2 linked regions of the Mus musculus genome follow. The protein of the gene in region 1 interacts with the protein of each later gene in a biochemical or structural test. Links are inferred from orthologs where the notes say so. Each region holds a gene or a part of one and is shown in the gene's direction. Other genes may lie near its edges.

Region 1 (3,820 bases):
GGCTCTAGCCTGGAGGAAGCTGGTGGGATGAGGTTTCAAGTGACTTGGCCAGAGGCAGACTCTAAATAATTCCAGAGATTGTGTTGGGGAGGAGAGGACTGGGTGATAAGCCTCTTCCTCAGAACATGGCTCTGTCCTCACACCAGGTACCACCCTCGGGTGCTCTACATTGATATCGACATCCACCATGGTGACGGGGTTCAGGAAGCCTTCTACCTCACTGACCGGGTCATGACTGTGTCCTTCCACAAATACGGAAATTACTTCTTTCCTGGAACAGGTAGGGAATAGAATTACTGTGGTTTTTTGTTTTTTGTTTTTTTTTTGTACCCCTTAGCTCTTTGTGTGTGTGTGTGTGTGTGTGTGTGTGTGTGTGTGTGTGTGTGTGTGTCTGTACAGAATCCTCCATAATCAGCATGCTGAATTAGGGAGACCAGGGATGTGCCATTGCCCCTGGCTGTCCTTCAGCTCTCTGCCATGACTGACTCCTTAGCCTTCTGGTCTTAAGTATTATGTCCTTTCTGCAGAGAAACCTTTCTGACCACTCCATTAAGTCAAACAGGTACCTCACCTTCTCTTTTTCTTAGAGTCCTCACTGCTAGTTGTATTTATTCTAGTTTTTATGTTCATTCTTTGTCTATTGCTACAGACCAGGCTGGCTTCTGCCTCTTGAGTGCTGGGATTAAAGGCATGAGCCACCATGCCCGGCTAAGTAAAATTTTTTGAACCAGACAAGGAGGTACATACCTATAATACCAATAATCAGATGGCCGAGACAGGCGAATTAAGAGTTCAAAGCTAACCTGGGTAATGCAACAAGTTCCTGGCCATCCTGAGTTACATAGCTGTGACCCTGTATTGAGTGAATGCAGGTTGCTGGAGCCTTGGTGGTAGAAGGCACAGAGGAACGGCTGTGTTGAGGGAACTTCCTGTGCACGGTCACTGCGCTCTCTTTTCTGTAGGTGACATGTATGAAGTTGGAGCAGAGAGTGGCCGCTACTATTGTCTCAATGTGCCCTTACGAGATGGCATTGATGACCAGAGTAAGTTCTGATGACTTCTCTCTGCTCACTCGTCTCCCCTTTTCTTCTCTTTCAATTAACCTCTTCTGCCTGGTATTGTCTATTGTTGGGCCAGGTTTCCTTAAGGACGAATGGCCTTCAGAGGGACCATGAACCCTTGGAATTTGTATGACATATATTATGTGTGTATACGTTTTGTTCATTTATTCTTCTGGGAGGAAGGTTGCTAGTGTTTAACTTGGCAGTTGTAACACCCTCCAGAAGTTCAGAACCAGTGGTTGGTTCTGTGGGTCGCCCCTTTCCTGGGCTACATGCTCTCTCAACCCCCTTTTTCCTTTTGTTCCCTGTCTCCCCATCCCCTTGGGGTGCCAGGTTGCCCACCTTTGGCCCTCTCCCAGGTTACAAGCACCTTTTCCAGCCAGTCATCAGCCAGGTGGTGGACTTCTACCAGCCGACGTGCATCGTGCTCCAGGTAACTCCCTTAGCACCTCCCTAAGAGGACTTGCCTGGGCTACAGGAAGGAGATCAGGAAGCGTAAGCTCCCTAAGTTGGTGAGGAAGGACGCTAGAGGACACTGATGTTCTGAGCATTCGTGCTACTGTAGCCATTTGGGATTTTCCTTTTTGCAGTGTGGCGCTGACTCCCTGGGCTGTGATCGATTAGGCTGCTTCAATCTCAGCATTCGAGGACATGGGTGCGTTGCCTTCCTTCTTGTTGTTATTTAAAGTTGTAATTTGTTGTTGTTATTATTATTAATTATTGCATATATATGTGTATATGATACACATACATACAATCAAAAATCTAATGAGGGAAAAAATAAGACAGGGTAACAACAGGGAATCTACTTTTTAATGGTACAGTTTTATTTAAGGGCTCACTGTGTGGCATAGGCTGGCTTTGAACTTGTGACCCTCCTGCTTGAGCCTCTGAAATTCTGGGATTACAAGCTCAGGTCACCACACCTGGCTTGGGAATGTATAGTAGACAGCATGCTTTGGGAAAGGTTTTCTGAGAAGGTGAAATGGGAGACCTGGAGACTAAGGAGTGAGCCGTAAAAGGAGAACAGAGAATCCTACTCCAAGCAGTGTGAAGGGCCAGTGCAAAGCCCTAAGACCGAAGTAAAAAAGAATTACTGTCTTGACAAGAGACAGTACAGCCTATGAGGCCAGAACATAGGCAGGTGCTATAAGCTGGCCAGGCTGAGAGTGTGCAGAGCTATTAGACCCTGTCTTCCATGGGTGATAGAAAACCGTTGAAGGATCTTAAACAGGGAAGTGACAGGGTCCAATGAGTTTGAGAGTTACTGTTCTGACTGCTAAATGAAGAAAGGGTTGGTGTGGGAGTTGGGGTCAGGGTGGGTAGTGGGCAGCCAGTTAGGAAGCCAATCACATTATTTGGGCAGGGCATGTGTTGATGGAGAGAAGTACGAGGTATGAAGGTATGTCCTGAAGCTTAGAACAGACATTCTGGTGGCGACACCGATGGGAGTAGTTGGGTAGCAGGCCAGGTGTGGCGGAGAGTAGTAAGCAAGGCCGTGAGGGTGTGCTTTATTTTAAAATGTTCACTGAGACACAACACAGTAAAGTACGCTAGTATTTTTATTTGTTCATTTGTGTGTTTGTGTGTGTGTGTGTGTGTGTGTGTGTGTGTGTGTGTGTGTGTGTGTGTGTAGCATATAGCTCAGAGCCAGGTGGGGACAGGGTGACTAGCACACTCAGTAAAAGTGCTTGCTATACAGAATGAAGACTTGAGTTTGATCCCAGAACTCATGTAAAAACACTAGGCCCGGTGGCACCCATTTATGATCTGTAATCCCAGCCCTGGTGAAGCAGAGACCAGAAGATTCATAGGGCTTGGTAGCCAGCCAGCTTAGCCTACTTGGCAAGTGCCAGGTTAAAAAAAAAAAGGTGGCTAGTATCTTTAGGCCAACACATGAAAATGTCTTCTAGCCCTTGTATACATGTGTGAACATACATGCACACATCCTCAGACACACATGCACTGGCACACATGTGAAGACAAACCCGTTTATACAAGTAGTCACACACAAAGAATGCAACTTTGAGTTATACTACACAATATGACAGAGAAATATTGTTGGTCAAGTCTTTGTACAATATTTCCAGTCATGTCTGGGGTCACATGTCTTAGATTTACCTAGTCCTCTTGTTTCTAACAGGGAATGTGTTGAATATGTCAAGAGTTTCAATATCCCTCTCCTGGTACTGGGAGGTGGTGGCTACACTGTCCGAAATGTTGCCCGGTGTTGGTGAGTGTTCTGTTCTACTACTCTGTGGTTCACGACAGACTCCCTAAAATTGGAGGGGTGGTCCTTTCAGCCCACGCCATCAACCCAAACCCCTCTGCTTGCTGGTTTCAGGACATATGAAACATCTCTGCTGGTAGAAGAGGCCATTAGTGAGGAACTTCCCTATAGTGGTAAGATCCACTTCATGATGCCACCACAGGGGGACACCATTCTCACCAGTCCTCAGAATGACCTTGTTTGGAGGGAAATTGCACCTTCTGGTAGCTCTGCAGACTAAATCCCTGTGCTCAGAGCAGAGCAAATACTCTTACACATGGGGACCAGGCCTCGGAGAGGAGATCAGAAAGCCATGGGATTCACTCTGGTGTCTCAGCCATACTCTTGTTCATCCCCTCTCCCAATTGCTTCTCATCTCTAAGAATACTTCGAGTACTTTGCCCCAGATTTCACACTCCATCCAGATGTCAGCACCCGCATCGAGAATCAGAACTCACGCCAGGTTAGCAGCTTGGAGAGGCTGGACACA
Region 2 (3,820 bases), on another chromosome or scaffold:
CCCAGTTTCTTTCATTTTAAAATAAATGTTATCTGAAAATTAACTTGGGGTAGATCCAAACCAAACAGAATGGAATACTGCCTGTAATCCCAGCAACTCGAAAGGTGATGACTACAAGGGTAGCCAGCCTGGGCTACACTCTGATTTGAGGATCATCTGTGCCCTATTGTGAACCCATCTGAAAAGGCAGAAGGATAGCACAGACTTCCTACCTCTATTCCTCTTATTTTTCCCTGCTAGATTTATTTGTGCCAGTACTTAAGATAGCTCCAAGTAAAACTCCTGGAGGCTGGAGAGATGGCTCAGAAGTTATAAGCACTGGCTGCTCTTCCTGAAGTCCTAAGTTCAATTCCCAGCATCCACATGGTGGCTTACAATGATCTATAATGAGATGCCCTCTTCTGGCCTGCAGGCATATATGCAGGCAGAATGCTGTATACATACATACATACATACATACATACATACATATATATACATACATACATACATACATACATACATATATACATACATACATACATCTTTTAAAAAAAAAAAGAAACTCTTGGTGTACTAATCAAAACATTCATTTGAGCGTCAGGATTATAGACAGCCACCAACCTTCCTGAGCATGCTGTGGATGCGGGGAGCTGGGGGGATCAGAGTAGGACGAGATTGCCTGTGCTTTCAGATTACACAACCCAAGTTATCTAGAGTCCCTTAAGACTGGAGCAGATCTTCATTTGTCACAGGGTCTAAAGAAAAGACATGCACGTGCGCGTACACACACACACACACACACACACACACACACACACACACGCGCGCGCGCGCGCGCTTGTGTGGGGACCCTCATGTTCTTTAAGGCCAAAGGGTATGTACTGCTGTTTATTGCTGTCCGCCTTATTCCCTTGACACAGAGTCTTTCCGAACCCAGAGTCAGATGTCCCATTGGGTTAGCAGCCAGTGAGTCCCAGCAGTCCTTCATCTTTGTCTCCCCCAAGTGTCACGATTACAGAACACACGTGATTGTGTGTGTGTGTGTGTGTGTGTGTGTGTGTGTGTGTGTCCTGGGGATCTGAACTCAGACCTTTGTGTTACACAGCAGCCACTGTTGCCCACTAAGCCATCTCCCCAGATCAAAAAGCTTTCTTTATTTAGATAAAATGTGGAAATTTTCTATAGTCTTCAAAAACTGTATGAGAAGAAGAAAATATTCCCTAAAGAGATTATTTTTACATCTATTTGTATTTACTCTGTGTGTGTGTGTGTGTTTGTGTATTCACCACAACATACATGAAGGTCAGAGGATAGCTTTCTGGGGTCAGTGCTCCCTTTCCATCATGAGGGTGCTCCCTTTCCATCATGTGGGATTTGGGCCTTAAACTCAAGTCCCCATTGTTAGTGGCAAGTGCTTTGACTCCGAGCAGTCTCGCTGGCCCTGAGAAGATGTGAGGGTGCTTGTGGGAAGACGTTCTTCTCCCTGCACTCGGCTCTGGCTCTGCAGCACTCAGCCCCACAGTACTGAGGTGACCATCATTCAGTGGAAGGATATATGTTGTACAACATGAGGTTCTTGGTTCAATCCCAGCACCCAAAAGTGTAATGCTAAGCCCTTAAAGCACTGATGCGTGTGCCTGGCACCAAAGGAATTTAATAAACTGAAGCATTTGGTATATTAAAACCTTTGAATTGGAAATATTTCCAAAACCTCACGTATCACATTGAGAAGTTGCCGTGTGTCAGCTCCTTGCCTTTAAGATTGGGAGCTGAAAGGAAGGAAAAGGAAGAGTGGCCCTGCTCTTCCCGTGCAGCGACTTTAGCTGGAGTATGGTAGACAGACCGCCACTGACAAAATGGGGCAGCCGATGATGCATTTAGATACCAGACCAGATTGTTCGGTAAGACGTTTTGAGGGGCTAGGAAGATGGCTAGGAAGATGGCCCAGTGGGTAGGAGCAGAGACGGCTCTTACAGAGGATCAGAACTCATTTCCTAGCCTTTGCCAGAGGCGGCTCATGATGAACTCCACCTCCTGCGGATTCAGTGCTATTTGCTGGCCTCAAGCACCAGCAGTCATGAATATTACCACACATAGACACCGGTAAATACACATTTTGTAAGAAATAAAACTAAATCTTTGGTCCTGGAGAGATGAGACAGCTATAAGGTTAAGAGGTTTCACTGCTCTGTGAAAGACCCATGTTCAGTTCCCAGCACCCACATGACAGCGTGCAACCATCCATAACTCCAGTTCCAGGGGATCCAGTGCCCTCTGTTGACCTCTGAGGGCACCAGGCTTCATGTGGTGAACAGACATACATGCAGTCAAAACACCCATACACATAAAATTAAAATTGTTTTAATCATAAAGAAAATTTGGTCATTTTAATAATAATGCTAAAAAGAATTTGAATTTTTACCTAATTTAATATCTTTTTATAGAGAAAGCAACTATGACTTAGAATAGCTAGTAAGTATAGTAGTATAATTTTTCTTTTAAACTTTTATACAATTTTTTAAGAACTTGTATCTATTTTAAAGCCTGTATTTTCTTCAAGAGTCAGTTAGTTTCTCCCTCCCTCCCTCCCTCCCTCCCTCCCTCCCTCCCTCCCTCCCTCCCTCCCTCTCTCTCTCCCTCTCTCTCCCTCTTTCTCTTTCTCAGGGCAGGCTCTTACTCTATAGTCCAGCAAAGTCTGGAATTCACTATGTAACCCACGCTGGCCTTGAATTTGTGGCAATCCTTCTGCCTCAGCCTTGTGAGTTTTGGGGATTACAGAAACAAGCTGCTGTATTCATCAATTTAATTTGCTAATATGCTTTTCTTTTAGTATTTCATGATCTAGAATTTGATACTTAAGGTTTTAAAGCATATCTGTCCCACCTTGCAAATTTTTAGTGCTTTCTTCTTTTCTTAAAGGCTGAATCGTGTCAGGGAGACTTAAGCACATTGGCCAGTGTGGTCACATCATTAGCGAATCTCGGCAAAGCTAAAGACCTTTCTCACTGCGGTGGGGATATGCCTGTGGTGCAGAGCTTACGCAATGGGGATACATCCTTCGGTGCTTTTCATCATGATATTCAGACCAATGGGGATGTTTCAAGGTAGGATCCGTGTGGTCTCATCTTCCAAGTCTTATTTTAGTTGACCAAAATGCCTTTGCATTAAATCTATAAAAGTTTCTGAAAACAGTATTGCTATAAGACTTGAAAAAGGTAAGACAGTGTAAGGTTTAACTGAAAATCTGCTGTTAGTACAACATGGCCAACACATTCCATTCTGAGTTTCACGAGCCCTGAATGTAAAATTAGTGCTGAAGTCTGGCATAGATGATTTGTATATGTAGGGATAAGTGTGAGGATTTCTCTCAGACTTGAAGAGATTGTGATTTCTTGGTAGTACGGTAGTATGCAATAATCCAAAGTACACTTACTGAGTTTAACTTGTTGATTTTTGAAACAGTGCCAAAGGTCAGTGCAATCCAGCAGTCTGTCTGTCATACAAGACAGCTGTTTTCTGAAGCATGCTTAGTTGTTTTCTTGTTTTGTGTGTGCACACCTCTCTCAGACAGTGACACTGGAGGTGGGTTCCAGGGCCTCCTGTGAACTACACAAGCCTTCTACCTTTGAGCCATAACCCTTCCCTATTTGCCAAAGAATTTTTAGGCTTAAACTTCCCTCTCTGTAGTCCTTGGTACTAAACCCAGGGCCTAATGCGTGCTAGACAGCCTACCCTTGTGCTATTCCCACAGTCCCTTGACTTAAATCTCAACTCTGGAATTTTGCATAAGAATTTCATGTTATTGTTGGAGATTGGCCAAGCTTACAGCTTCTGCTGC

The links.
Region 2: the proteins of Hdac3 (region 1) and Nr2c1 form a complex in vitro, tested with the Homo sapiens proteins (4 studies listed by BioGRID). The link is inferred for Mus musculus from reciprocal best matches to the Homo sapiens genes HDAC3 and NR2C1.

What each region holds. Positions count from the first base shown.
Region 1 is NC_000084.6:37,941,352-37,945,171, reverse strand, and holds part of Hdac3 (histone deacetylase 3), read left to right. Parts: intron 1-146; coding exon 147-280; intron 281-962; coding exon 963-1,043; intron 1,044-1,394; exon of another isoform or gene 1,395-1,420; coding exon 1,421-1,494; intron 1,495-1,651; coding exon 1,652-1,716; intron 1,717-3,204; coding exon 3,205-3,294; intron 3,295-3,405; coding exon 3,406-3,464; intron 3,465-3,713; coding exon 3,714-3,793; intron 3,794-3,820. UniProt on the Homo sapiens protein: Histone deacetylase that catalyzes the deacetylation of lysine residues on the N-terminal part of the core histones (H2A, H2B, H3 and H4), and some other non-histone substrates.
Region 2 is NC_000076.6:94,168,148-94,171,967, forward strand, and holds part of Nr2c1 (nuclear receptor subfamily 2 group C member 1), read left to right. Parts: intron 1-2,901; coding exon 2,902-3,086; intron 3,087-3,820. UniProt on the Homo sapiens protein: Orphan nuclear receptor. Binds the IR7 element in the promoter of its own gene in an autoregulatory negative feedback mechanism. Primarily repressor of a broad range of genes.